Linked DNA regions of Oryza sativa Japonica Group. Each later gene encodes a partner of the first gene's protein in a complex. Links are inferred from orthologs where the notes say so. Each region holds a gene or a part of one and is shown in the gene's direction. Other genes may lie near its edges.

Region 1 (7,475 bases):
CTTGTGTAAATTAAGCTTGGTATCTCCATGTATCTTGACTCTTGAGGTACCAAAATATATTTTTATTTAGGTACTTGAGGTACTTTTTCATGGATCATAAAATTTCACTTCACGTAGAGAGTTACTCAGCTCGTGTGGGCCGTCAAAATCACGACCTAGTGCCCCGCAGCATTATCCACAAGGCCCATTAGCCTGATATCTGAAGCAAATTATCGGCATCATTTTTTCGCTTATGCTTATACTTATCAGTCAAATTTTAAATTTTAAACCTTAAATTTATAATTGATTTTAGGATATTTTTTTTCGTCGAAGTTTATTTTCCAGCCTTTGCTTTTAGATCGCTAAGAACACATATGTAAAAATTTTATTCATATTCTTTTTTGTTGTAAATATGACCTTTCGCTTATAAGCGAAACGATGGAGCCGAAAATTATATACTCGCGGGGTTATCTTTTTTTCCCAACAAAAATGACATCAAGTTTGATTAATTTGCCGTAAAACTGGTAGAACCACAACAATATCAACTTACAAAAGAATCACATAATAACACCACCAATTCAATTAGAACAGAATCACAAAATAAACCAGGATATATTCTCCGTCCAAATTAAATTTCGCACACCCAACGACGACCTCTCCCAATTCAAAAGCACGAGAGTGCGCGCGCGCCACACGCATGGGGGCGGCCGCGGCGGGCGCATCTAGTAGTGCTTGGGCGGGCAGTTCGCCGGCCGGAAGGCGAGCGGGCCGGCGGCGTAGACGACGTTGTCGTAGCCCTGCCCCGGCCACCGCTTGCCCTCGTCGCGGAGCGGCGCGCCCACCATGCCGGCGTTGATGTTGGTGAGGCCGTCGCACTTGCGGTCCGGCGACGACAGCAGCCGCGCGTAGCACGCCCCCCGCGGGTCGGCGCCGAGGAAGTCGGACGCCCTGGTGACGCCGAACTCCGCGAGGAAGTAGCCGCTCTCGTCGGCGACGGCCAGCCTCCACCACGCCGCCCGGTTCTTGGCGTCGCGGCAGGTGACCGACACCTCCGCCCCGCGCAGCGGCCTCGCGCCGTCGAGGCTCCACGAGTTGCGGTGCTCGCAGCTCTGGCAGTACACCTTCCCCTCCACCCTCACTAGCACCTTGTCGCTGCTTTGGTGCGCCGCTGGCGCCGGTGGCGGTGGCGATGGCGGCGGCGTGTGCTGCGGTGGTGGCGGTGGCGATGGTGTGGTGTAGCCGTTGTTGGCGGTGGCGCCGGCGGCCAGGAGGGAGACGAGGATGGCGAGGTGGAGGAAGGCAGCCATTGATGCGGAGCTTGGTGTAAGCTCGACTGAGATGGTTTGTGTGAAGCTTTTTTTTGGCTGTGTCGAGATGGAGAGAGGCTTGGGGTTTTATATACTGCCATGGATCAAACGTGCGGACATGTAGATGGCCGAAGCCCGAAGTGGTGGCCATGTTTGTCCTGGAAAATGTCTTGGTTTTGATTAAGATTACGTTTTATTATACATTATTGTAAAATTGTGACAATATTATACGTACAATGATTGACCTGTCGAAATGAAAAGAAAGACAATATGTAATGATTGGTCACCATGGGCATTTTTAAGAGAAGAAATCGCATGCTTGTAATCTGTTTGGCGATTGGTCAGTCTGACATAGATAACGAATGTTCAGAAGGATGATATGCAGATTTGTCAGAGAACGTGCTGCCCGCGTGTGTCCTCAAGACTTCAACTGCAATATCTGGTTCTCCGTGTAGGCAGAGAGATGTTCCCCAACGCAATGCCGCGCAAAATAATCAATTTTGCCGGCAGAGCGACAACTTGTTTTATAATCTGAAAACGAACTGACATCTTATTTTATCTGTAAAATGTGCAGTTCATGTAGGAGCATGATGTGCGTCCATGTTTTGTCTGAAACCGACTGAAAGATAAACAGAGAGCACTGGAGTAAGAGAATTTTCTGATTGTTTCTACATAGGAGTAGGAGAGTTTAAGGCGAAAGTTACTGGATGGAAAGGAAGTCTGACTAATCGAGCTTACCCAAAAATTCACAAAACGTAGCATCTCCATCCCATCAAGAGCAATATGTGCTCTAGTTCTTGTTTTTCATCTTGAGGGAGAAATTATCCGATTAAGTTTACATGTCTGAAGAGCCTAATCATTTTTGTATATCACTTATATGTGCTGTCCTAAAGATTTGATTTATGGAAGAGTAGAAGACAATTCTCACTTCACATTCCAAACAGGTCATAAATCGACAATATCGCTTGTTATTGTGCGGTTTCCGCGGTAACCGGACTTACCTTTGGATACACTAATAGTAACTTATCCCGTCAAATTCAAATAAATTTACATAATAATATGAACTTCTAATAGCATCGTCTAGTTTTTCATGGTTTACCGTGTGATTACCGTGCTTACGATTGGGTGCGGTAACTCAACCCCTGATGGTAAGGTTAGCCCTGCTCTAACTAGGAAAAAACAATAACAAACAGATATATAAGACACAGGTTTAACATCAGTACTCTTAACTATTCCCTCCGCTCAAAAATATACTACCTCCATTCTAGAATATTCGTCGTTTTGAGTTTTTTATTTGTAATGTTTGACCATTCGTCTTATTTAAAAGATTATGTTATTATTATTTATTTTGTTTGTGACTTGTTTTATTATCAAAATACCTTAAGTATGACTTATCCTTTTTAGGTTTGCATTATTTTTTAAATAAGACGAATGGTCGAATATTGCAAGCAAAAAGTCAAAACGATATCTAATTTGGGATGGAGGTAGTAATAAATTTTGACACTTTCATTTGTCCACAAAAGGCTAGTGAATATTATTAATGGGCTGGGCCAAACACCCACCAAAGAAAATTCCCAATGGGCCTTGAGTGATCCCCAATATACAGCCCATTACATGTACACCCCAGCAATCCAGGCCCACACGCAGCGAGAGAATTCGACTCCCGTTTAATTCCGGCCCAAATCCATCTCTTTCGACTGCTTACTTCTGCCCTAATCCACACACGTATCAGAAATTCGGAATACTCTGTTCGCACTTGCCCTTCCGGAACGCTCCCAAACCCTAGGCGCGTGACCATGTCGGGGTCGTACGGATCCGACGACTACCGCGGCGGCTACGGCGGCCGAGGTCGCGTCGGGATCCTGCGGGTTGTGTGCGTGCTTGCTTCTGGATCTGCTCCTGACTGGCTTGTGGTTTTTTTTGTAGGTGGCGGCGGAGGCGGCCGTGGGAGGGGAGGTGGCGGAGGAGGAGGGGGAGGATATGGTGGTGGTGGTGTGGGAGGTGGATATGGTGGTGGTGGCGGAGGATATGGCGGCGGTGGCGGAGGGTACGGCGGCGGTGGTAGAGGTGGCGGTGGAGGAGGAGGCTACGGCGGCGGTGGCGGCGGCGGGAGAGGTGGGGGTGGGGGTGGCGGTGGCCGAGGTGGCGGCGGGAGGGGTGGAGGACGTGACGGTGACTGGGTTTGCCCAGACCCGAGGTTTGTTTCGTTTACTCATTTGACGTTGTCTCGTTTGATTCGACTGTGACTGATGAAATCGTGGTTGTCCCGATTGTCTTGTAAATTATGCTACTTGGCCATGAAATCTAGGGTTTTTAGGTTGTTAAATTATAAATTATTGGGTTATTTGATAATTTGGTTTAGGATTTTGCATGGGGCATGTGTGAAGTGTCCTACTAAATTTTTGTTTCATCGTAGTATTGTGAGCATCAGAACTGCCAACAAATAGTTAACTGCATAATTCATTCTCTATGAGAGCTCCCTATAATCTTAGGTCACAAGTGCTAAATTTATGTTGAACCTCTAGATACATAAATATTATGTTATACTTGTCTCCCATGATTTCTTCCCCTCCCCTATGTTCTATTTTCCTTGGTATAGCAGAGTGGCAGAGAAGAAATTTCATATATGTTTTTGAAATGAGTTCATGGTGTTATTGGAAGCATTACAAAATACAGTAAATAAGCACTACAAAATACAGTAAATACTTTCTTTTATGAATATGTTTCTTTCAATATGGCATTAGTTGTCTTGCTGAGTTGGTTATATTTTGCAGAATATTCGGTTGCAATTTCATTGGTTCTCTTCCAATATTCCTAATATATTTGTTTATCATTCTTGTTCCAGTTGTGGCAATGTGAACTTTGCAAGGAGGACTGAATGCAACAAGTGTGGAGCACCTTCTCCTGCTGGAGGTGGAGGTGGAGGTGGAGGTGGAGGGTATAATAAATCTGGTGGAGGGGGTGGAGGCTACAATCGTGGTGGTGGCGATTTTAGTTCTGGAGGTGGCGGTGGCTACAACAGAGGTGGAGGAGATTACAACTCTGGTGGCCGTGGTGGTGGCACTGGAGGGGGAGGAAGAGGAGGAGGTTACAATAGAGGTGGTGGCGATGATCGTGGATTTGATGACCACCGTGGTGGCAGGGGTGGTTATGGGGGAAGAGACCAAGGGAACAACCAAAGGGGAGACGAAAGTGGTTATGACGCTGGTAGCTATGGACAAGTTCCTCCTCAAGGTCCTCCTTCCTATGGTGGGCCTGGTGGTGACTATGCAGCACCTCCAAGCTCCTATGGAGGCAATAATGCATACAATTCAGATTCTGCAGTGCCACCTCCTAGTAGCTATGGTGGTGGTCCAGGTTCATATCCACCAAGTTATGGTGCACCACCTCCGAACCCGCCATATAGCGGTGGTGCTCCAGGTGGCCAAGGTAGCCTACCTCCTTCATATGATGGTGGGTATGGTGGTCGGCCTATGCCTGGGGGTGGAGGCCCTGGTGCACCTCCACCCTATCATGGTGGTGGTGGTGGTGGTGGTGGCGGCGGCGGTGGCGGCGGATACACTGGCAGTGCTGCTCCAGAGCCAGCTGCAAAGGTTAAGCAGTGTGATGCAAACTGTGATGAGACTTGTGATAATGCAAGAATTTACATCTCCAACTTACCTCCTGATGTGACTGTTGAGGAACTGCAAGAACTATTTGGAGGAATCGGCCAGGTATACTTTGACCTCCTCTTGAGCTCCCACATATTTAGTGTTTATGAACTGTGCATTTCACGATTCGCTCACTGAAATATTTTGTGCATTTTATGTCTTTTTTCTAACCTCATGTTTTTCATTTTATGTGTTTCGCCATAATATCTTTTTCCAGTGTTACTGATATTACTTGTTGGAATTTAAGTAAATTTACAAATCAGTATTCAGATGATGTTTATAATCTGTAGTTGGGCTTGTTAACATTTTTTTCCCCTTTTGCTTTCACTACTGCTAGCACATTGCAAGTCATAGTTTTGCACAAAATCTGCTCCATCTGTTGTATACAGCGCAGTTAGAGCGAGCTTATTACATATTGTTTTTTTCCTTGCTAGTGGAGAAGTACACCCTTGTGTTTCAATGTGCATAATTAAATTTGGATATTTGTTTTGATGTAACATAATCATCTTGCAGTAATGATGCTCTTTTTTTTTGTAGAAGTAGTAGTACTGTAATTTTAGTTATAACCAAGCCATTCAATGATTTTGTAGTAATTTTGCTTTACTCCCATATTGGTATTTTATGCCAAATAATTCGTGGCATATCACCCCATGATGTTAATGTAAAATCTTTGATAATAAAGTAAAGTTGGTTTTACAGATTACTTAGTGTTCCTAGCTAAATTTATTGCAAGAAATTAATTTCTTTAGTTTTGGGGGTGGTAACTGCTTGTGTTTCATGGCTGTGTTTTGAGTTTTTGCAACTGCTTTTTTCTTAAGGTTGGAAGGATCAAGCAGAAACGTGGCTACAAAGACCAGTGGCCCTGGAACATAAAGATCTATACTGATGACTCTGGAAAGAATAAAGGAGATGCCTGCCTTGCCTATGAAGATCCTTCTGCTGCTCATTCAGCTGGTGGATTCTATAACAGTAAGTTCAGCATCGAGATTATATTATGTGTGTATAAATACAGTGTTCTGCAATTTTTAATGCATGTTTTCTATTGATATTCCAGATTATGAAATGAGAGGCTATAAAATTAGTGTTGCGATGGCTGAGAAATCAGCTCCTAGAGCTCCTGCATATGGTCATGGGTAAGTACTTTTCAGTTCTGTAGATGCTAAATGCAGATTGTGGAATGCTGTGTGCCTATGTCCAAGCAAGACAGCTTCTATTATGGGCAAAGCATGCCCCTTTTAGTTGCAATTTGATAGCCTAGATGTTTGAATCTATTCTTCAAAGTGCTCGTAGGTTGCCCCCTTAAGAAACTGTGATATTAGGAGTATATGACACGTACCATCTGTTTATGTTATTTTGGTGTAGCTTTTTTTTCTTCAACTACAAAAACTGTGTAAAACCAAGCACTTAAGCTAGAAATGTGATGTAAGCCACAATTACATTGATTGGATTCTGGTGGAACATAATCTGGGGACTTTTCTTATCATATTTTTTTGTATAGCGTGTAAGGTAGTTTTACCTGATACTTCAATTATGTGTTCTTAATTTGCATATGCATTCTGTCACAAAGGGCTTATAATAACACATTCATGGTGTAGAAATAAGTTGAATGTGGGAGCAGTAGAATGCCAAGTATGTATCAGTCAATGTACACTTGTACTACTTCCGGGTTAAGATCTTAAACATTGTTCACTGAACCTCTTTGTGTAATTTTTAGCCTAGCTAGAAAAGAATGTCACTAACATGCCACGATTCGAAGTTGTTTGGTATTATTTTAGAAACTGGATAATTGTAAATATCTATTTATTCTCACTTGACAAGGTGGGTCCTAACCACTTGTCTTAAGTCAATGTGTAGTGTATGACTGTGTAAGGGACAATGTGTTGGTTGAAATCTTTAGCATACCTCGATTTAACACAATATTTGTGAACACTACTTGTTATTTTATGTATGTGCTTGGGCATATACATCATGGTGTAAAACAAGTAATATATGGCAACTGAATGATTTTTGTTTAATTTTTATCAGTTGTGCCTTTTAGGTATTTAATATCTGTCCACACCACTTTTAGCTCATATATAACTTAAGTTATTACTCATGTCGAGTTGTATATGTATAATCAACTGCATTACATGGCATGCAGAGGTGGACGTGGTGGCTATGGTGGAGGTCGCAGGGATAACTTCAGAGATGGAGGAGGCCATGGGCCTAACAGGCATCAAGGTGGTGGTTCGCGTTCAAGGCCATACTGAAAGCAACTAATATAGTTACTAAGATTGTCATCTGTGAGAAACCATTTCTATTCCTGTTCATCGGACTTGTACTCAAAACAAGAGCGTAAGGTAGGTTGCCTGCTTTTCTCGGAATTATATTCCATTGTCATACTCCAATGTTGGTCGGATGTTTGTTTGTCTCATCCAAAAAGTGATTGATCCATGTTATGTGAATTTTTCCATAGAGGCAGATGGATAAGCTCCAAATGCTGGTAGTTTTGAGATGTTATTTCAGGTGAGTGCCGATCTGTTATGATTCTGCAATGCTT
Region 2 (7,502 bases), about 10 Mb from region 1:
AGCGATTTTTTTTCCTTCTCGTTTGTTTCAGTTGGTTGTTCTTCACGACAACAATCATCATGACGGTATGGAGGGTATGAAGAGAAAACAGTGCTTTAACAATTGGGGACGATGTTCCATGTTGGATATTTAGCCTCAAACCATTTGTTATGTCGAGCTTCTAAAATTTTTTTGCTTTTCCATAGGGCGTTTACTAAGGACTTGGAAGATGATGAATTATAAGATTATTGGTTTCTTAAATGTTGCTTTGCTTATGGATTGCTGCATGATGTGTTCCCATTGCGATGCATTTCAGCATTTGTATCATCTATCACAACATCTGCAGCTTTTCTTTTTTGAACATCCCTTATGGTTTGCTGGGGACTTCTATTCTGTCAATGCACCCGGCGTTGGTGTGTTCCCGATTTTTCTTCCAGAAGGAAATGATCTACCGAGTTTAAATGCCTATATTGGCCCAAATTTGAACATGGTTACCGTAGAAAACATCTCTATGTTTTTCACTTAGAACTTAAAAGAAATTTCAAATGTTTTTAAATGTAACACTTTTGATAAAAGAATTTGCACAAATCAACGGAGCAAAAGCAGGGTTTACGTTACCGCGCGGTTACTGCGGTTACCGGGCTTACCGTGGGGGTACGGTAATATAAATACTGCGGTAACCTCCTTAAATTCAAATAAAATTAAAAAATAATTTGAATTTTTGATAAATTTTGCACGGTTTTTCACGGTTACCACGCGGTAACCCCGGCCCCTACGGTTTGGGAAACCCTAAGCAAAAGAATGCCTTGGTGCATTGAAATGCGAACCATGGATAATAAACTCATTGCTCAATCAAGAAAAGAAATAAAGCAAATGAAGAAAATAACACCCTAACATGCAAAAAATATTGCAACCGATTCTCCACACGAAAATGTGAAAGACAAATAATTAACAAACACAACTTTCATCAATGACCATTGTTTAGTGACTGTTGTCTTGTCTAACTCAGGTTACCTTCCCCTCCGTTTCCGGTTATAAGTGTTTTTGATTTTAGTTAAAGTCAAACTATTTTTAAGTTTGACTAAGTTTATAGACAAATTAGTTTCATCAAATCAATGATTGAATATATTTTCATACCTAAACCTAGAATTGGATGAGAACTATCCTAGTTAACTAGTATATTCCTTCTATTTCATAATATAATAATTTAGAATCAAATGAGACCTATTCTAGTACTACGAGGTTCGTAGTAGTATGATACATGCAATCCGATTCTAGCATACCATATTGTGGGATGGAGGGAGTATATATGAATGCAAACCATGTAATTTAAAACAAATGGTTACTCATGCTACTCATGGTAATAACTTACTTCAGTAAAATGTATTTGGTCCTCAGTTTTCCCAACGCTAAATAAATTCGACCATGAAGAGTACTTAAATATACTGCTTGGTGCTAAAGCTGTCCACAATAGCATAATATCAGTTCCCTGTAAAATTAGTGGTATATTGTCACCGTGAATATACTCAATAATAATTAAACAAAAGCTACTAAAATTTCTTTTTGGAGGGAACAAAAGCTACTACCTCCCTCCCAAAATACAGAGAGTTTTAGGTTTGGACACAGATATTAAGAAGGTATGTAGAATTAAACGAAAGAAAGTTGTGATTGGTTGACAAGAGAAAGTTGGTGGAGAATTTGAATGGTGGAAGATTGTGATTGGTTGAGAAGAGATTGTAGGTGAAGAAGTTGTTATATTCTGGGATAAATTTTGAATGTTAGAAGTTGTTATATTTTGAGACGGATGGAGTACTAAACTCGGTGGCATAAAGTCAATTCCTTAGTACCAAAGATAACAAAAAAAAAAACAAAGTGGGAGGTAGGCAACAAGTTTTAGGAATTAAAAAAAAAGGGCATTGAGGAACATTCTAAAAATGAAGTTGCCATTGAAAAAAGATGAATTCATATCTCCACCCGTTTCTCATTAGGTCCATATCTTCCAAGAATATTACTTTGGAGTATTGAAAGAGTTAAGATATCAAGTTGCAAGTTGTCATGTCATTTAAGACCAGAGGTTTGCCACTCTTTCTCCTTGTGCACATTACCACCACAACCACTAATCTAGTTGTAGGTCCCATTGCAAATCCTTGTTCATTCATCGTCATCGGTCCTTAAGCACATCGCCATGATCTAATTTTAATGGCACTTAGATTTAGCCATCTCTTTAGCGGCGGTGGCAAGTGCTCCAACATTGACTTCTAACTTTCTATTGGAAACGTTTAGCTATTTGGTTATCATTATTGTCGAGTTGTTGACGCTCTACTCTCTATTATCAGATCTAGCCATAGGTACAATAATTTGCCTGTTCCTCGTCCTTTCCCTATATGAACCATTTTCTTCACATTTCTAAGTACTAACTCATTATCCTTTTTTAAGTGCTCTAATATTTTTGAAAGTGTTATTTCTCCTTTATCTTTAAGTGGCTCATGTCTTCTTTATCTATGCTCTCCTGTATCTCAAGTCTAATGTTGCAATCACTGACTGAAAATCACCCAGTTCTCGTAAAAATGCCGTGGGGACTGGTTTACGAAAACTAAGTGGTTTTACTCCCTCAAATATAGCAACCTTGTACCTCTGTCCAGATTCATTGTACTAAGATATGTCTCATCTAGTACAGGTTGTTATATTTTGGAACGGAGTGAGTAGCAATTTTCGTATGAAATTGATTAAAAATTGCTATTCTTATTGTTTTTTTTACCAAACCGATACAAACCGGTCTTCACTCGAAAACGGTAATGCAAAACTGGACAATATGGTGTGTTGCAAAATTTCTCAAATGGCCCGTTTGGTTGGAGAGAGTTTTCAGGAGGGATTGGGAGTTTAGAGGGATGAGGCTATTAAGTGTTTTGTTTGGTTGGGAGACATAAGAATTTTGGTGGGATGTAGATCCCTCCTTTTCAATACGGCAGGTAATTGGGAGGGAATTCCTCCTTTACTTTGTCTAAGCAAATCTCAGCCATCCATTTTTATTAATGACCTAATCTCTAACTAAACTCCTTATCAATTTTTATCATCTCTACCAAACAAGATATTAGGATTAAAAATTAAATTCTCATCTTAATCTCATCCGCAATTCCCTCGTGTAAACTCCAAATCATACCATACAAGCCGCAAGGACCGGAAAATTCTCGAATCGCCGCCGGTACGCTCACCAGCTGCTTCCTTCCCTTCGCCGCCGGTACGCTTCCGCCGCGATTGCCTCTCCCCCTTCCCGGCCTTACGCTCCGCCGCTAGTGTGAGGCTGACTCCACTCGTTTCCTTCCAGTTCGCCCCTCAGAAATCCATCACGGCTGTGCATAGTGCACGCGAAAGCCCTAAATCCAAGCGGCGGCGAGGAGCGAAGGGAAGGGGAGGGGAGCGCCGCCGGCCGTCGGGAAGAGGGGGCGGGCGGCGTCCGTCTCCCTCCCTCACCCCTCGCGTCCTTCGCTCTTCCGCCGGGATGCAGAACCCTGGCGGCCACCACGCTAGCCCGGCCTCGGCGGCCAAGTCCAAGTCCTCGACCGCTGCCGCCGCGTCGGCGTCGGGCCAGGGGAGCTCCCACCACCACCACCACCACCACTCCGGCGGCGGCGGCGGCGGCGGCGGCGGCGCCGACGCGTCCGCCACCACCCTCAAGCGCAAGCGCGGCGTCTTCCAGAAAGACCGTACGGCACTGTTTTTTCTAAACTTTAGTACTGCTGCTGTTCTTCGAATTCGTTGTTTATGCTGCATTTTTCCCCGTTCTTGCAGTGCAGCACATGATGTACGGATTTGGGGATGATCCAAATGTAAGCCCGACCTCGATCTATGCCTTTCATCTCTTAATTTTCAGGCTAGGAATTGTTTGGGGATAGGATGCAATTTGTGTACTTTGTGTTGTGGAACATTGGAGGTAATTAACACCGACAACGACAATAATTGCAAGTAGGCCATGGATTTACAACACAACTACATGATTGCCTAAGAAAGAATGGACATGCTGTTCTACCTTTTAAGTTAAAATCTTGTATGTAAATGACATCTTTCTGTTGGTTTTGCAGCCGCTTCCAGAAACTGTTGCACTTGTGGAGGACATTGTTGTAGAATATGTCACTGACCTGGTAAGCTTTCATTGTATTTGTCTTTCTTGTTTTCTACTGAAATTACATTTATGAAGGTTGTATGGATGAAAGGAGTTTATTTGGATTTCGACATCCTTATTTGTTGCCTTATTTAATTCAATTCTAGTGTTCTGGAAAGAGTGATTAGGTAGTTTTCTGGAAAGAGTGATTAGGTTCAGTGCTTCTGTTTGTCGGGAAACATGAAGCCTTTTATGTTTTGAGAATTAATAGGGGCTTCACTTTAACCTATAGTTCATATTTGTGTAGAGCCCAAGGGCTTGAAGTTTGAACACTGGTTTCGGGAAAAAAGAACTACTCCCTCTGGAAAATAAGTTGCCAGGTCTCTACTGGACAAAAGTTCGATTCCAAAATTTTGAATCAAAAAACCAGTTACCAGCTAGTTACCGGCAGTAAACCAGTTTTGTGATAAAAATATTGGATTCGAACTTTTTGCATGCTAATATGTAATAATTCAGATCCGGCATATGAAAGTAAACTAGTGTACCTGTACATGAAATTTCAAGAAAATATAAAGTTATACTTTATTCTTATGGTCTCAAATCTGAACTTTAATTTAAGTGTGAACTGTACTTTGGACTAGATTTTATTTCCTAAGTTGCACATTGGATTAGGTATTATCAAAGGTTTTCACTTTGAACCAGCTTATGGTATCAAATTTTGCACTTTGGACCATTAGTCCCACACGTCAGCCTCCATATAGTCATCTTCCTCGTCAGTCCTCTCGTCTCCTCTCCTTGTGCGCCATCATGTGCTCTCGTTGCGGCAGCTCATTTGTGCAGGCCGCTATGGTGGAGCATCTTGCCAAGCCTTTCTCAGCTAGTCCACCACAAATAAAAGCCTTAATTAACTTTTTCCATCCTCAGTTCCCTTCTCAATCATAAACCACCAGATAAGTTGAAGAGCTTCATACAGTGACAAACCTTCCAGACCTCTCCATGCTAATCACCTGACCATCCCCTGCTCTTGCACCCACTGGCCGGAACACCGTCTCAGCGCTATGGTGGAGCATCTTGAGCTCAAATCAGGGGCTAACACTAGTGGAGCTCGAGGCTGAGCAAAAGCTGGAGCTGGTGGATTACTGTGCATAGGCAGAGTGTAGCGATTGTGATGGCATTGGTAGAACTGCGGGTGGAGAAAGAGTTCTACAGACAGTTATATAAGCCCAAATTGCAACATAGAGGCAAACATACATAATCCAAAGTAAAAACATTGGCTAGAGCATATGGTTCAAATAGAAAGTTGGGTAAATATTCCTAGCCCAAGGTGCAATTCACTCCAATTTAAATTGTTCTGGCTGGTACACTCCATACCTGTTCAGCAACGGTTATAGTTATCACCAGGATTTGCATCTCTTGTGGAGCCCTTTTTGTTAATGATTCATAGAGCTTTGCCATCTTTTGGCAGTTCTTCCCTGCTTAAATTATCTGTAAACTATATTAAGAAAGGCATTTTCTTTAAAGTCTCTATATAGTCTACTTTCCTGCATGATATGGAACCTTGAGTTTGTAATCGTGCATAGTGTAAATGAAATGTACCTGTGACATGGGGTGAAGATATCTAAACATGCCCCACTTGTCTGAATATATTTTTGTAGATAATTTGTCCATGCGTGATCTGAATACGCGACGATATGAATTTATTAGGTCTGTTTACCCTGCAGACTTACTTTGCCCCAGGTTGTTGGACAAAATTTTTACATGACTACAATCTAGTATGCACTCTGTAACAGCAGAAATACACACCAAACACAAGAATTTAGTTAACTGTAATTTTTTATTTGATTTTAAATACCTGCATGTGGATAAAACCATATGTGTATGTAATGTTTATTTATGATTCCGTAACTGTTGACTGTATAATGTGCACTTTCTTAGGTCCACAAGGCCCAGAACGTTGCATCAAAGAGGGGCAAGCTCTTGACAGAAGATTTTCTTTACCTCATTCGCAAGGTACATTTCTGAACTCCACATGTGAAGTTGCTTGCAATACAGTTGATTAGGTCATATTAAAATTTATCTCTGTACTTTCTTTCTAGGATGTGCGGAAACTGCACCGTGCCACTGAGCTACTCTCCATGAATGAAGAGCTCAAGCAGGCAAGAAAAGCTTTTGATGTGAATGAAGAGACATTGGCAACAAATAACGAGTGATTTCTCTTGGAGAAACCCCGGCAAAAACTATGTGTAGTACGGAAACTAGTCGTACGATGATCATTTCTCCTGCAGAAGATGTGCATCCATTACATTATGTACTACATTTTTAGGAGAGTAATGAAACATTGTGCAAACTGTCATCCTATTTAGGAGTATTAAACCTAGGTTACTGACAAAATCCATTCCATAACTCTTGGGCTAATTTGCAAGACGAATCTAACGAGATATATTAATCCATACTTAGCGGATTATTACTGTAGCAAAACATGGATTAATTAGGCTTATTAGATTTGTCTCGTAAATTAGCCCAGGAGTTATGGAATGAATTTTATCAGTAATCTACGTTTAATATTCTTAAATAGTAAGATTCTGGAGGGCTAATTATTAGCCATCTGGATCCAAACAAGGCTTTGGTTTGGTATTGTTATGGGATAAGATAATCATGTTTGGGGCAATTGCGGGCGTGAATGCCTGATCGGCAGCCGCAACCCAGGCAGCCGATGGCATTTGGTAATTACCTTTTGTTTTAATCTAAAGTCCCAAACGATGGTATTATTGCCTTTGTGTTTTAAAAGGACGCGACTGGGGTGCATGGTCGTGCGTTAGGCTAAACACCCGTTCGGACATTCTTAGATTTTCCAATTAGTAATTAGGCTATGATGTGCTACAAAGGCATCTGGATCGTCTACATTACTGCAGATGAGTACGGTTCATATGAGAGGGAACAGATCTCCTTCGTTCGCGATAGATCGGACTGTTAAAAATATCCTAAAGTCATAGTGCTGCGCTTCTCTATCTTTAGCAAGTAAAGGCAGAGTAATGGTTTGCTTGGTTGCGCAGACGATAAGCTTATTCATTGGCGCATAACACAAAATATTTCCTTTTCACCCTGGGACAAAAAAAAAAAAAGTGCTCCTTTTGCATGGGTGTGTTCGGCTGCAGCAGTGCTGCAGCCTATACGAACAGTGAAGCAAGCTTTCACAAGCAAAAAAGGCCAGCGGCTGCACCTGCCTGCTGCCTGCCGAACAGACCCAGTCCACAAGCTATTCTATTTGTTGTAATAGATACTCTCTATTTCGTGTTATAAGTCACTTTGATTTTTTTTCAAATTTTTTAAAGTTGATTAAATTTATAGAAAAATATAGCAATATTTCTAACGCAAAATTAACATATTATTAGAATATATTAAAACTTAGTTTTAGTGAAACTAA
Region 3 (7,539 bases), about 25 Mb from region 1:
TTCAACGAACTTATGCATATTAATTAATCTGTTCTTCTTTTTTAGAATATAGCATTCATACCATTATTATTTTCCTGAGAACCATTTCAGCACATAAGCATGCACCTAGCTAGCATAGTACTAGTACAGTCCACTACCACACAAGCCATACAAAAAGTCGAAGCTGCATAATCTTTTTAATCAGCTGGCAGGGATTATTAGTACTCCTCCACATTGACAGATACATTGTTCCAAGTACACATAATAATCACCCCATAATGGCCACTCGAATCGCACAAGCCCGGAAAAGACAAGGGTGAGAGCAATGCTGATGCTTGATAGCCATTAGAATTTAGAACCGCAAAAAAAGCCTAAGACAACAATAAGAAAAGGAGAAAAGAAATGGACACACAGAAGAGGATGAGGCTGCTGATTTTACAAAAAGAAGGCAACCTTGGCCGTGCATTACTTTAGGAGAAATTTTACGATACTTAAAAACGAATTATCTATATATTCTAAAATTTTATATTAAAAATTATGATACCTTAAGATAACTAGTAAACGAAGATAATAAATTTTATATTAAAAAATATAGTACCTCCTAACACCTTATACTCCTCCCGTCCTATGATATAAGAGATATTGGGTGAATGTGGTATATCCTAGTACGACGGTCTAGACTTATTAGACTTATTACACTAAGATGTGTCATATTTATATAAAATCCTTTGTATTATGGGACGGATGAGTATAGAATTATCATTCTCTCAATCAGAAGAGGGGCGTATCGCCATGCGTCACACAGCTCCAGCAGCGAGACAGTGGCGAGCTCCACCTTGTGAGATCCCAACCACGCACGGACGCACCCGGCCGGCCGTCCCGGCGGCAGCAGAGATCGCCGGAGCTCGACACGTACGCCCCTGAACAGGGGACAACCGGACAAGGCTACACTTTTGCAGCTCCAGCCAGGACTTGCATTGCAGGTAGTATAGCAGGAGATCAGGCCTGGCTGGCTACGATCCCGTCGCAGATACGACCTCCATTTAGTACAAGCGTACGATGATATTTTATACGCTACCAGTTGGAGGCAGGACTCTCTCTCTCTCTCTCTCTCTCTCTCTCTCTCTCTCTCTCTATATATATATATATATATATATATATATATATATATATATATATATATATATATATATATATATATATATATATATATATATATATATATATATATATTAAATTTGTTTGGTGCTCCATGGTGTCCGGGCACCATTGTTGAAATTGAGTATATACCCAATTCAAATGAGTATGAAACTTTTTCAATTACTTAGGTATTAACATTAACTACTTTACTAACTAGTTTAAAGCAAGTTTGAACTGAATTTGAACTTGTTTTTGTTATATTTTGATTCTAGGTATATAGCATCCATACATATAATTAGTTAGGTATGTAATCATGGATTATGAAATAAAGTTAAATTTGAGTTGTTTTGTTGATAAGTATAGGTATGAATCAAATTATTATAACTAGGTATATACTCACAATTTAAAAATTTTGAAAATTTTGAGTGATTTTGTGCATTAGATACCATGGTGCCCGGGCACCATGGTGCCCCATATATATATATATATATATATATATATATATATATATATATATATATACACACACACAGCTTTGGGAGTCTTCGAGAGATATACACGAGCTGGGCATCTCTTTTTGTTTGTCGCACCCCCCCCCCCTCCCCCCCTGTTGCTGAAAGCGATCAGCGCAACCGAAGCGAGGAATAATAATCGGCAATGATAGCGGGAGTTTGGTCAGACGAGCCTCAGACGAACAGCCGGTCGAATATTCACTCTCATCACCAGCAAAGCGGAAAAAAAAACACGACGATATATGTGGCTCTCGTCGTTTTATATTCACATGTATGATGTATCATACGGAGTATGATAGTATATATGTGTGTGCATATAGTATGTTGTTTTTTATATTCGTGGAGCAAAGTGATCGGCGCCAGAAAGCACCTTTGTGCCGTCAATTTTATTCAGGGGAGAGAGAGCTGCAAGAACTAGCGAAGAATATTGTTGTGTGATCTGGGTAAGTAATCTAATGGCGAGGCTTTGCTTGGGCAAAGAGGAGGTCAATGGTGAGCGAGCGAGAATCCTATGCGTTAGGATTAGCGGCAATAAACAAAACGGCCTCCACTAAACAAGGCGCGATACGGAGGTAATGCAAAAGCTGTGAGAGGGGGGCAAAGCAAATCCTATCCTCCTCCTGAATGCCCAAATCCCAGCGTGATCGATCGGGGTTGTTGTTTTTGTAGCTGCTTAAGCTTTTTATTGCACACGTTTGATGCATCGTTCTCAGGATGGGTCTCTCGGTGGGTCAGTGCCCACGGCTTGGGAGTTTTCTGGTCCCGAAAACCTGTTGCACGATGTGATACGTCTCGAACGAAAAGATGAAACTTTTTTGTTGCTGTTCTGATGATGGTAGTAGTAGTAATCCTGTTTTTTTTTGTTCCTTTTTTCTTTACTTTGCGCCCGGCCATTGTAAGGTCCGCATCGGAGGTAGGCCACATCACGGTTTCAACTGTGTATAAGCGTGTAACATCTGCCGTTGCTGAAAGAATGCTCCTCTGATGTTGTTCTCTGACGTAAAAAAGGAATCTAGGATTATATGTGATATATTCTAGTATAGTGTGTTCAAATTTATGGTATTAGGATGTGTTATATCTAGTACTAAGTTGGTCTTTTATAAGACGGAGGGAGTACGTCGTTAATATGTAGGTTCACGAACTGCAAAATTCATATGTCAGTTAGAGAATTTGTTTCCGCCGCTGCTGCACGCGCCGTGAGGCGTGAGCTGCTCAGCGGTGGCGCGTTCGGCACGAGCGATTTGATTCACCGGTGAAAATTCTCGCGGCCGCCACGGAGAAATCGGCCCAGAAATCCGGCCCGAGAAAAAGGCCCACGCGCGAAGCAGCCCACCAAGCCCGGCGGCGGCGAGCAGGTAGGTCAACCCCGGCCCAAAAATTTTCAGAAGACTCTGGACTCTTGCGATTCGTCTCCAGCCGCGGCCATGAAGGACCCGTTCGAGGCGGCGGTGGAGGAGCAGGAGTCGCCGCCGGAGTCGCCGGCGGCGAACGAGGAGGACGCGGCCGGGGCGCCCGAGGGATACGACGGCGCCAGCGGGTCGCGCGGGCCTCCGCTGCGGCTGCCTCCTTCGAGGGCCGCGCCATCGGGCTCCGGTGGTGCCGCCGCGGCCGCGGCGAGGGGTAAGGTGGTGCGGGTCCAGAAGGAGCAGCAGGAGGAGGAGGATGACGAGGAGGACCACATGGAGGTCGACCTCGACAAGCTGCCCTCCGGCACCAGCGACCCCGACAAGCTCGCCAAGATGAAGTAGGTGCTTGGCTGCGCTCATCCTAAACCTAGTTTTGCCTTCTTCTGGTGCGTGCTATATATGAAGGGTTAACTGCATAAGGATCAACTAAATTCAGGAACCATATGACCGTCTGTTGAGTATATACGTTCTTTGATCGAGTTCAGTGTTTTAGCGTCCTTCACCCTTTTAACTTTGGTTAATTTGTGACAGTAAGATTTGTACTAGTGGAAATTTCTGAATTGGAGTAAGGATTGTTCGTGATTGTAGTTACAGAACAACCTGACATTATTCACTTCATAAAGACTGTAGTCCCAGTTTCCAGCTATATGTGAAGCGTTTACTGGCATAAAGATCAGTTAAAGTTAGGAACCATATGACTGTCTATTGAGAATATGTTCTTGATCAAGTTCAGTGTATTTTGGTGTCCTTCACCGTTCAACTTTGGTTAATTTGTGACAGTAAGATTTGTACTAGTGGAGATTTCTGAATTGGAAAAGGGGATTGTTCTCAATTGTTTGTGATTTTATTTACAGAACATCCTGACATTATGCACTTCTCAGATTTATGTTCCAATATATATAGTGAAATATTAAACCCATCTAAATAAGAATTCTATGTTTGAAAAACTATGTACTCCTTTTCCAGTGCCATACTGTCTCAATTTACAGAAGACCAGATGAACCGGTATGAGTCATTCCGCAGATCTGGATTCCAGAAATCTAACATGAAAAAGGTATGATCTCATTCCCAACATCCATTGATTTAATATCGTACAAGTATAAACTGCAATATCATGTGCGTGTGATGCGTGTGGCGCCTCCATCTGAATTGGCTTCAGTGTTCCCCTTTGCAATAAAAGCTTTCCACAAAATGTGGATCACATTAACATTTTCTGCTTTCTTAAGTCTTACAGTTACCTTATTTTCTGTTGAATAACACCTGTTCTATTTTGGTTCATGTTTCTTTTGTGGATGCATACCATGAGTTGTACAATGTACCATGCATGTCTTGTCCAAATTGTTGATAGAGCTTCATGTACAGGACAGTTGATTTCGCTCCAAGTTGTAGATAAATACATTTTTGCCTATGTCATCGTTTCTACTGATTGTAAGTGATGTACACTCTCTAAATAAAAAACCAAACTTGGTCAATATTCTTTTCTTCAATTTATAGGCAGGCTAAGAAAGCCTTTTTGTAGTGTCAATCCAAAGTTTGACCTTTTTCTCGGTAAAAATGTTACTTTTGGCTGTTGAATGCCTGAAGTTAACAATGCTTTGAAATTACGTTCTAGTCAGAGGGACAAGTGCTTTAATGTATTTCCTCATCAGTGGTTGAAATATGAGATCACTGCGTTATTGGAATGTTTTTCGGAGTTGCTAGAAATATGGCGCCATATGCTACAGTCGATTTTTTTTAACCACTTACACAGTAGTTACACCTCATTTACACCCCATTTACATATGTAATTAGTATGTAATTTCGAATTTACATATGTAATTTTATTACTTACATATGTAATTTTGAGACTTACATTGTAAATACACTAAAATTACATATGTAATTTAGGGACTTACAATGTAAATACATGCCGACTATTTTTTGATGAAAAATATGACGCCATAAATATAGCTACACCCATGTTTTTTTAAAGTTGATTTGATATTCTGTTTCCATGCAGCTATTGGCGAGCATTACTGGCAGTCAAAAGATTTCTCTACCAACAACAATTGTAGTATCAGGAATTGCAAAGATGTTTGTTGGTGAGCTTGTTGAAACAGGCAAGTCTAGAGTAATTATCTTATTTACTTTGTTGCTCATAGAACACTACCACCAAAGCACCTATGATTTTGATGTATGCTCATCTCTTAAAGCAAATCACTCTTATGACTGATCTTTTGTAATCGTCCGTGTTCAAATGTCCTTTTCTGCTTTCCATAAACTTGTTCTCTGACATCAGAAGAAAAAGGAGGGATGGCTTTATTCACTTTATTTTTGACAATTCGATTGTGTCTGTTGCAGCTAGAATAGTTATGACTGAGAGGAAAGATTCTGGACCAGTAAGGCCTTGCCACATCAGAGAAGCCTACAGAAGATTGAAACTTGAAGGGAAGATCCCACGGCGGACTGTTCCCAGGCTCTTCCGTTAGAATTGAAGCATCTCTGTTGATCCCAGTCGACACTGAGATGGTCCTTTCTGCGGTCAGATGCGCGGAAAGAGAGAATGACATGAGATGTATTTCTTCAGCTTTGTGAAATTGTTACTGTGATTTCTGTCGCAGCAAGGGAACCAGAGCAAACAGTACGTACAAGCTGAAGTACTACGGTACTACTAGCCGTGGAAAATTCTATGTATAAAGTATTGGCCGTAGGCTGTGAATTTTCAGGCTTATGAATAGTTGAACTGTGTACTATGCTGTTTGGAGTATGCGCTGAATCTGATTATATGCTTGTCTGCAATTAAATGCGACCCTCGTTTTAACCCAAACGATGTGTCTTTCTGCTATTTTTATACGTAGAACTCTTGCCGTTGTAACTAATCGATTTTTTAAACGAAGTGTCTTTCTGCTATTTCAAGATCGGATGCTATGCAGGATCTTATGTCCTGCAGGCTGCAGCTTCGGCGGGAGCATTTACGCCGGCATTGTGTTCCTTGAGCATTGTGTGTATTGGTATTGTCGATGATTCTGAAATTAGGCAATTGTTTATGGGGATCTCATCCTTTCTTATTTTTCTTCGTTTCATTTTTGGAAGTGGCTGGCTGCATCTAGTTACTTGACATCACTGGTACATCTTGATCATGTCTTCTTTCTATTGATGTTTTGGTGTTTTTTAATTATTTTGAGAACATGTTTTGGTTCAGGCCTAGGTGTTCACACTAAACTTCTCCCAAACTCCTAACTTTCCATCACATCCCATCCAAAACTTTTCTACTTACATAAAATCCTAACTTTTTTTCCCAAACTACCAACTTTCTCTAAACTTCTCTCTAATTTCAGAAACTAAACACAGCCTTGGTTTAGTTCTCAATGTTTTCTTCAAACTTCCAACTTTTCCATCACATCAAAACTTTCCTACATACATAAACTTCTAACATTTTCGTCACATCGTTCCAATTTCAATCAAACTTTCAATTTTAACGTGAACTAAACACACCAGTTGTGTTTGTTTGTAGACCCTGTTACAGCTGCTGCATTCTTGGTTCAAACTATTGGAAGGGAAAAATGTCAAGCTGATGCAAGGTTTGCTATATTTCGTTGTGATGAATTAGAGCAGCGAAAAGACCTTACTAACCTCCTGCTTGTCTTGTCCACTCCAGTCCACACAGCCACTCGATCGTTATCCCTTGTCCGTCTTGCCTTGCCTTGTCGTAAGCTAGGCAATGGCTATGCCGCTGCCGCCGCCGCCGCCGCCTCGTCCTCCTCTTGGACGGGGACGGCTCGTCGGAGTAGGACCAGCTCCAGCACCAGCAACGGCCTCCCAATCCAACCGCCCAGTGCCCCCCCTGCAGCTGCCTCGCTGCCGCTGCCATCGCTCGGAGGGACCCTGGAGGACGACGGCGGCGGCGAACGGGAGGAGGCGGTGGTGGTCCGACGAGGACATGGAGGAAGAGGACGACGAGGAGGGATACGGATACGACGACGGCGGCGCGCCAGGCGGGTCAGCGCAGGAGCTGTTCGGCGAGCCATGGTTTTCCAAGCTCTTCCGTGCGTACGGCTACGTGCTGCCGCTGCTGCTGGCGTCCATGCTGGTGGCCACGGGGCCCAGAGCTTTCCTCATGGCCATGGCGCTGCCGCTCGCCCAGTCCGCCATCTCCTGGGTCGTCTCCTTCTTCACCACCAGGAGTCGTCGGCAGCAGGAGGAGGAGGAGTCGTACGGATACGACTACGATGACGATCCCGCCTTCCAACGCCGAGAGGAAGACGACGACGACGGCGACTACTATGATGCCGGGGCATGGCAATGGCGGAGCAGGAGCCACCAGCAATCGACCGAATCCGGCTCCGGTTTTGGAGGATGGGATGACCTCCTCTACGACGATGAGGAGAAGAAGGAGCAGGAGAGCTCAGGGAAGAAGAGGACGCCACCGGAGCCCGACACGGCGGCGGCTGCTGCCGCCTCCGATCTGGGACTGGGATTGCGGGCGAGGAGAGGTCCACGACGCAGCAATGGCGGCATGTCGC
Region 4 (7,557 bases), on another chromosome or scaffold:
TTGTCGTTGTCTGTGCATGACGACTAGATCCACCGAGAGCACAATGAGACCCCTATAAGATGTAGGTTGTGAATGTTCAACCCGTCGTACTACTTTGGAGCACAAACTTTGTCCCAAGCGAGCCAACAGTGTCTTACCCTACCAATCCAAAGGAATTCTTAGCGAATTCGATCAATCCCCTTAATCACCCGTTTAGGTGGTGAAATGATGATTAGTGTGTAGATGGGAATAGAGCTCAGAACTAATTTGACTAGTGCTACTCTCCTGGCAGGCGTGAGCTGCCCTACTTTCTAGGATGACAAACGTCTAGCGACCAAATCCACCAGGAGCTGGAGATCTTCTTCCCTTAGCTTCTTGGTCAACAGGGGTATGCCTAGGTATTAGTAAGGGAAACACCTCACCTCGTAAGGCAGCTCGCTGCGGATGAGCTCGATGTAGGGGTGGTAAAGGGCCTAACATTTTAGCCTACAAAATTTGAGGGCTAGGCCTAAAATGGGTAGGTTGAATTTCTATTCATTTTCGAACTAAAAGTATATGAGGTCTAGGTAGGGTTGTGAAAGAACTCGTGGGGATTGATCCATTACCACCCCTAGCTCGATGTCATTGTCGCTCCATTTGATCAGGATTGTTGACACACTTGCTAAAGTTTGTCTGCAACTTGTTGCCTCCTCGAACAAGTTTAGTATTTTCTTTGCCACTTGGAAGTCTTGGTTGGTCGCGGAGAAAGAGCACCACATTGTTTTCCGAAAGGGATATGCGGTGCGGGATTGGGATCGGCTGCAGTAAGCCCTCCTCTTTTGCCTTGGCAAACAAGGTGCTTAAGGTATCCATCACAAGGACAAACATTAGAGGTGAGATCATATCGTCTTAACGTATTCCCTGACCGTGCTAGATCATCCGCCCTAGTCACCATTGAGGAGTAAGAGTTGGTATGCAATATGCATTATCCCGTGAATCTTAGTTCAGTGATGGTATGCTACATTGCATGAGTAAAATGACGCTTTCTACTAGACATCAGTGAATGTAACTTAGTAGCTGATGGCAAACATAAATAGTGGTGTTTCTTTGACTTAAGTGAAATTGTAAAGAAAATCTTGCTACTTGACAATAAATCATATAATTGACCTTTTCTTGATAGCATATAACGGTTATGTTTCCTTGTTGCAACTTCTCTTTGTATTATATTATTTGGATGATTTTCAAATGGGATAAGTCCATTTGACAACTCCGAACTCTTCGCTTTGTCTAAAATAAACCCCCAAACTCTAAAACTGAGTATTTGACACCCTCTAACTTTTCAAACCGTCTAATTTTAGCCCCTTAGTGGAAACCAACGCAAATTTTCTTATGTGGTGCCTACATGGAAACTTAGCTATAAAAGAACATAAAAAGGTGGGACCCGTAGGCCACCTCCCCTCTTTCCTCTTACTCTTCTTCTTCCTCTTTCCTCTCCTTCTCCTCTTCGAGATGAATGACGAGGGTAGAAGGCCGTTGATGAGTTCCCGAGCTTAACAAGTAGAGTAGCGAGGCAACCTCCCTGAGCTCAATGAGGCGAGTGCCGACGACTTCCCTGAGCTTGTGTAGCAGGCCCAGCGGCATCGGCTCCTTCATTGAGCTTATCGTGGGATCGAGGTTGTGCTGCTGGCACTTGTCTTCTCTGACCTCGGCAAGTGGGTGTTGGGGGGGGGAGAGCTCTGGGTCTACGATGACAGCAACACTTGGATAGGACGAGTGGCAGCGGATCTCAGAGCTTATGATGACATCGAAGCTTGGGTAGGAGGGGCCGATTACTGCCCATCAACCCTCCTTGGAACTTGCTGGTGATCCCGTCTTCTCCGTGCTCAGCAGTTCCTCTTCTCCAAGCTCGCCGCCAACCCCCCTCTTCTCTGACCTCAGCCAAGGGGCAAGCTCCACATCGAGCTTGCTGCCAACCTTCCTTTTCTTCCGAGCACGACCAAGGGGGTGGGCTCGGCACGAAGCTCTCCGCCGACCCCTTTCTTCTCTATGCTCGCATCTAGCTCGCAGCTCCGTCCATCTCGTCATGGCTGCCTCAAGCTCATAGAGGGAGGGAGTCGAAAGAGAGGGGAAGGTGAAAGAAGACTGTAGGACCTGCTGACGTGGTGTAAACCGCTCAGGGGGTATAAAGTGAATGGTATTAAAAGTTAGAGGGTGTGAAATATCCGGCTTTAGAGTATTGGGTGTATCTCTACTATTATAAAAACTGAAGATGTTTTTGCTAGAATTTTGGTTTGTCATCCATATTTGAGTCGGTTTTTAAGTTCGTTCACTTTTGAAAATACAGAACCGTGTTTGAGTTAGATTTTAAGCTTATTTCCTATTGGAAGTAAGTCGTATAAGAAATCTTTTAAAAAAACTCACATGCTAACTTCAAATTAAATACGGTCTCCTAATTGCAGCTCATGATTTTCTGAAAAAATATCCAATCAAATTTTCACAGTGAATTTTACCGTAGCTAAACCGTATAACAACAATAAAATTAAAATAGCATTTACCCGTTCCAATGCATAGACTTTTTTTTTCTAGTTTTAGACAAAAACGAAGACTTCATAGGTGTAAAATAGACTTATCCCTTTTTTTTCCAAACGGGCCTGAACTCCGCCCATCCTACGCTTATTACCAAAAGGGCCGGAGTACAGCCCACCACTCCCCTCCCTCTTCCCCCCTCCTTCTCGAGCCTCCGGCGACGACGACGACTCCCGCCGCTCTTCCTGGTCCATCGGCGGCGAACTTCCCCGCCGACGTGCCAGATCTCAAACCCCACTAGCTCCTCCGGCGAAGGCGGGGGACCAGAGGATGATGGGGAGCAACAGCGCAGGCGGAGGCGGCGGTGGCGCCATGGTTCCGGGGGGCATGGGGGGAGGAGGGCCCATGGGGGCAGCCGCCGCCGGCGGCGGCGGCGGCGGAGACGGGCGGCACGACGACGAGGCGGTCCTCACCGAGTTCCTCTCCTCCCTCATGGACTACACCCCTACGGTACGGCGCCTGCCGCCCATCTTGCCCTAGCTTCCCCCTCTCTTGGGTTTCGTGTCTGATGCGGTGGTGGTGGTGGTGGTGGTGGTGGTGCGGCAGATTCCCGACGAGCTGGTGGAGCACTACCTTGGCCGCAGCGGCTTCTACTGCCCCGACCTCCGCCTGTAAGCACCCCCATCTATCTCTCCAATAGTTCAATCTCTTCTCTCTTTCAGGAAGACTGCACCGTGCCTTCCAGGATGGGCCAATTGGTAGTTATTAAACTGAAATTCGTCCAGTGCCCGGAAATCACTGAAGAGATTTGGACTGAATTTTGCCTGATTCTTAGTACGTACAACATGGTGACAGTTAGATCTGATTGAGGCTGTTAGGATTGCATTGTAATGCAGCGTGTTGCCATTCTAGTCGAGGGAGAAAATCGCTGTATCCCTTTCAGCTTGGTGATTGTTGGTCGTCATGTGTGACAGCATGGCCTTATGAACCATAATTTTTGTGTTCTCTGCAGAACGAGGCTGGTTGCTGTAGCCACCCAAAAGTTCATTTCGGACATTGCAAGCGACTCTCTTCAGTATGTAACTTTTACTGCCTCATTCGTTTTGTTTTCCAACTTAAACGTATGTGCGATTATTTTGTTCCTTTTTAGTGGTTATCGATTCTTGGAGTCGAATTTTCGTTACCTTCAGATAGTGAATGAGAAATATGATTTCTGATGATGGTCATGAACCATGAGGTTTCTTGCATCATTCATAAATGGAGGTGTATGCAATATGCTTCATTCTTGAGATGTTGAGTAGCCTCATTTCTCCTATGCTGGCAGCTTTTTGAGATAACCATGTTGATTTTAGGCTTGTTTTCTTCATACTGTCAACTTGCATCTTCTTTGTGCTTCCTTTTTTTTGTTTCTATCATCCTTCTCACATTATGACCATGGAATGAAACATCAAACATGGTATCTTATGTCTATATTGTTAAGACAATAGATTGCGAAATATGCATAACATTGATGTGGTAGGGAATCTAATTTCAGTACTGACTGAAACTTTATGTGTAAAGTCAAGCTTCTTATGGTGTTGCTTGTATCATAACTTGTGACAGTTAAAAGGTATCATGCACACTAATTTGTTCATCACATGATTATTGTCCTGAACTAGGCACTGCAAAGCCAGGGTAGCAGCACCTATCAAAGATAACAAGAGCAAGCAACCTAAGGTGGGTTTAATTGCAGTTGGTGTACCATGGTACTACTAGCATGAAATCAGTACTTTTATTTACTGGTTCAGTCATTCTGTTCTTCAGGATAGGCGTCTTGTGTTAACAATGGATGATCTTTCCAAGGCCTTGCAAGAGGTAAACCATTTTCCTGTTGAATTTAAGCTTTCCCTTTTACTGCAGCTCACCAGTTACCACTGTACTTTACGTGATTGAAGTCACAGTTTATTCAGTTTGACGTATAATTGCAATTATTAGTTTTATTAGGACTTGAATCTCTGCATTAATAAATCTACTGTAGAATGGATTTAGTTAACCTTTTTTAGACCAATGGGATTACTTGTTAATGTTTTTTTTAATGAAACAAGTAGCCAAATTGATCAGTTGTATATGCTTCACGATGCTCACGATTAATCACAATTCAGATAGACTAATCAACTCAACAATCAGTCACAGCCTACTTGTATTGGAATATTTTACCAGAAGAACAAATGGGAAACTATTTTGATCCCTTGAGGGGATGTGCCGCTTAAAAATCATCTAAACGGTTATGAAAAATTCTAGAAAAATTTGACAACACTTATACAACATATCTATACAACTTCACAAAATCTTAAGTCCAAATTCAACTCACACATCGAGATATAAAAAAAGACAAATTCAGCGTATAAATAGTACCGCACTGTTAATATCTGAATTTGTCTTTTTGGGTTCTCGATGTGTAGGTCGAATTTGAACTTTATTTTTGGTGGACTATTAGATATAATTGTACTCTACATTGTCAATATTTTTCAGAATTTTTAACAACTATATTTGCATTGATTTTGAAAGAAAAATATATACGAGGGGACATCCCCTCGAGGGATTAGAATCCACTCCCCAGAACACATACATTATAGTACATGAAATAAGCATTTAAGCAGACCTGGGATGAGCTGCTCATATACAGGGATGAGCTGCTCATATACAGGTCTATTTGACAAATGATCTTCTATGCTTTCCCTTCCCAGCAATATTCTTGGCAAATGACTGATTCAGCTATAATCACATCATGGTCAGTACACTTATGTTTACAATTCCATGGTTCAGAATCAATCTACCTTCTACACACGAAACCTCACACAAAAGGGCATCCTTGACATGTCACAATATCACATAACTCTGGACTGTAATGCTCTACAGATGAGCTATCATTATAGAAGCTTTGTGCTTTCATGAAATATGTTTGTTCCACATACTACCAATTTGAGATTTATTTTTGTTTTCTAACATGCTGGCAGCTATCAGTAGATCATCACGTCATTTGATAGAATTAGATTACCATTGTCCAGCGTTTAGTATTGTAACTCCTAATTATCCTAATTAGGCATTTATGTTTGATGCATTTTGAGAAACTGGCACTTTTTACTCCCGTGTCAAATGCCAATATAGATCACAAATGTGTACATCAAATCCTCTATGGTGGTGCAGTAAGCTGGTAACCACTGACTATAGGCTAGTAGGCTCCTTTTTACCAAACATGTATACCAATGCTTAATTTCTGATGTGCACCATACTTATTTCCTTGCAGCACGGTGTGAACTTGAAACATCCTGAGTACTTCGCAGACAGCCCTTCTGCAGGAATGGCTCCTGCAGCAAGAGAAGAGTAGACTCAACTGAACTCAAAGTGAAACCAGGGACTATGTAGGGAGCATGCAAATGAATGACCATGTCGGCATCCTTACCCAACCTTATTACAGCATGCAAATGAATGAACCTGTCAGCATCCTTACCGACCTTATTACAACCTGATGTCTGTTCCTTGATATACTATTGACCATTAGCTTGTAACTAATAGTCTAATACCACTGGTTGCTTCTGTACTTAGTATGAAGTACTATCTGTGCTGATTGATTCCTCTGTGTGAAACCTGTTTTAAATTGCCTGGTGGATCCTTGACAGCTGAAAACTAATTGACTTTGCAACATGCTATAGCTTTTCACTACTTTGTTTCTTGATGTTGCGTTGGCAAACATCATTTCTCAGTGAAAATGCAACATGCTATAGCTTTTCACTACTTTGTTTCTTGATGTTACGTTGGCAAACATCATTTCTCAGTGAAAACCGCAGGGAGGTCTGGGAGTGATCTGGGGCCTGGGAGTGATCTGGAGATCAGGTAGGTCTACCTTATCTTCTCATTATTATATTGCAGGAACACAAGTCAAATCTGCATACAATGTGTATAGCGTCTGAAATAGTGTAAGAATGCATTGCTGAAATACAAAAGGTATATCCTGTCAACTTGTCATCCAAGAGCTATTTAAGTTAACAGTGAACTTCGTGACATTGTCACACAGAAAAACCCAGGTATAAACTAAATAAAGGGCCATGATTACGCTAGATTAGTCGAGTGGGTTATTGGACAATCTAATTATTAAGATTTCATACATATGTTTTCTGACAAATAATTGTATAGTTTTCATAGCATAATAACTAACCGAAGTGTCTGTTTATGCAGCTCATTCTGTCAGCAACTTTCATGCTCTGAGTCTCTCAGAGCCATAGCCTGATAGCCACGCCCTTAAGTGGAAGGGTAAGTGTCCTTTCCCAATCATTTGTTCATTGAACATTAGTGTACCTTGCAATTGAAATTGAGTGCAAATGTTCTTGACCGTCCACATATAGCAACATGAACCTGCAAAGGTCGGCTCATGTATACTTCAGACGGCAGTACAGTGTCGTGGTGCATGCTTGACCTTGGATTGTTAATTTGTCATACATGAAATAAATTTCTACCTGATGTTCCAAAAAGTAAGTTTATGTAATGATACTTACGAAGAAACTCGATGTACTAATTGATCTCTTCAATGCAGCTTGGATTTCTGACAGGGACCAGCCCTATTATCATAAGTAGGCCACCAACCCACCATCAGAGTATCTCAAGTTAAGAAATCTTATATGCTCTGGTCACTCTATAATTTCAATATGCATGATGGTCTACATGCATTTTAGAATATCTTCCTCCTCAAGTCATCTATGTTATCACTTGTCGGAACTGGAGAATATCAGAATAACTTTGACTTCATCTTGGGTATATTTCTGTGATGACCATATAGGAGTATTTAACAAAACATGGCCGGTGCAATTATATTATTGAAGATTAATCTAGATGGTTACTGATGTGAAAGTGATCGTGTTTGAGTAGACACTGTTCAAGGATCCCCTGGTTGAAATTCCTGAGGTTTACAGCGATTGGTTTACTGTTTTTCACTGCGTCACTTTTGATTTCGCACTCAAGACAAGTAGCTGCGTCACGTTCGTTTGGTTTGCGTTGACTGTCACATCAAAATGAGTTAAACACTTAAAGAACGTGATT

What was found.
Region 2: transcription initiation factor TFIID subunit 15b (region 1) and transcription initiation factor TFIID subunit 13 share a complex: the UniProt entries of both Arabidopsis thaliana proteins name them as parts of the TFIID complex. The link is inferred for Oryza sativa Japonica Group from reciprocal best matches to the Arabidopsis thaliana genes TAF15b and TAF13.
Region 3: transcription initiation factor TFIID subunit 15b (region 1) and transcription initiation factor TFIID subunit 11 share a complex: the UniProt entries of both Arabidopsis thaliana proteins name them as parts of the TFIID complex. The link is inferred for Oryza sativa Japonica Group from reciprocal best matches to the Arabidopsis thaliana genes TAF15b and TAF11.
Region 4: transcription initiation factor TFIID subunit 15b (region 1) and transcription initiation factor TFIID subunit 10 share a complex: the UniProt entries of both Arabidopsis thaliana proteins name them as parts of the TFIID complex. The link is inferred for Oryza sativa Japonica Group from reciprocal best matches to the Arabidopsis thaliana genes TAF15b and TAFII15.

What each region holds. Positions count from the first base shown.
Region 1 is NC_089035.1:3,328,415-3,335,889, forward strand, and holds transcription initiation factor TFIID subunit 15b, read left to right. Parts: upstream 1-3,024; 5' UTR 3,025-3,082; coding exon 3,083-3,134; intron 3,135-3,212; coding exon 3,213-3,483; intron 3,484-4,131; coding exon 4,132-4,999; intron 5,000-5,754; coding exon 5,755-5,905; intron 5,906-5,990; coding exon 5,991-6,069; intron 6,070-7,076; coding exon 7,077-7,185; 3' UTR 7,186-7,374; downstream 7,375-7,475. Other genes in the region: non-classical arabinogalactan protein 31, read right to left, coding at 702-1,286. UniProt on the Arabidopsis thaliana protein: TAFs are components of the transcription factor IID (TFIID) complex that is essential for mediating regulation of RNA polymerase transcription.
Region 2 is NC_089035.1:13,331,781-13,339,282, forward strand, and holds transcription initiation factor TFIID subunit 13, read left to right. Parts: upstream 1-3,174; 5' UTR 3,175-3,217; intron 3,218-3,304; 5' UTR 3,305-3,478; coding exon 3,479-3,683; intron 3,684-3,768; coding exon 3,769-3,806; intron 3,807-4,058; coding exon 4,059-4,118; intron 4,119-6,013; coding exon 6,014-6,088; intron 6,089-6,174; coding exon 6,175-6,288; 3' UTR 6,289-6,846; downstream 6,847-7,502. UniProt on the Arabidopsis thaliana protein: TAFs are components of the transcription factor IID (TFIID) complex that is essential for mediating regulation of RNA polymerase transcription. May be involved in polycomb repressive complex 2 (PRC2) mediated repression.
Region 3 is NC_089035.1:28,594,073-28,601,611, forward strand, and holds transcription initiation factor TFIID subunit 11, read left to right. Parts: upstream 1-3,014; 5' UTR 3,015-3,055; coding exon 3,056-3,375; intron 3,376-4,003; coding exon 4,004-4,091; intron 4,092-5,036; coding exon 5,037-5,136; intron 5,137-5,377; coding exon 5,378-5,505; 3' UTR 5,506-5,843; downstream 5,844-7,539. Other genes in the region: uncharacterized protein, read left to right, coding at 6,738-7,539. UniProt on the Arabidopsis thaliana protein: TAFs are components of the transcription factor IID (TFIID) complex that is essential for mediating regulation of RNA polymerase transcription.
Region 4 is NC_089043.1:20,158,707-20,166,263, reverse strand, and holds transcription initiation factor TFIID subunit 10, read left to right. Parts: upstream 1-2,663; 5' UTR 2,664-2,814; coding exon 2,815-2,994; intron 2,995-3,090; coding exon 3,091-3,155; intron 3,156-3,496; coding exon 3,497-3,559; intron 3,560-4,142; coding exon 4,143-4,200; intron 4,201-4,287; coding exon 4,288-4,338; intron 4,339-5,770; coding exon 5,771-5,851; 3' UTR 5,852-6,095; downstream 6,096-7,557. UniProt on the Arabidopsis thaliana protein: TAFs are components of the transcription factor IID (TFIID) complex that is essential for mediating regulation of RNA polymerase transcription.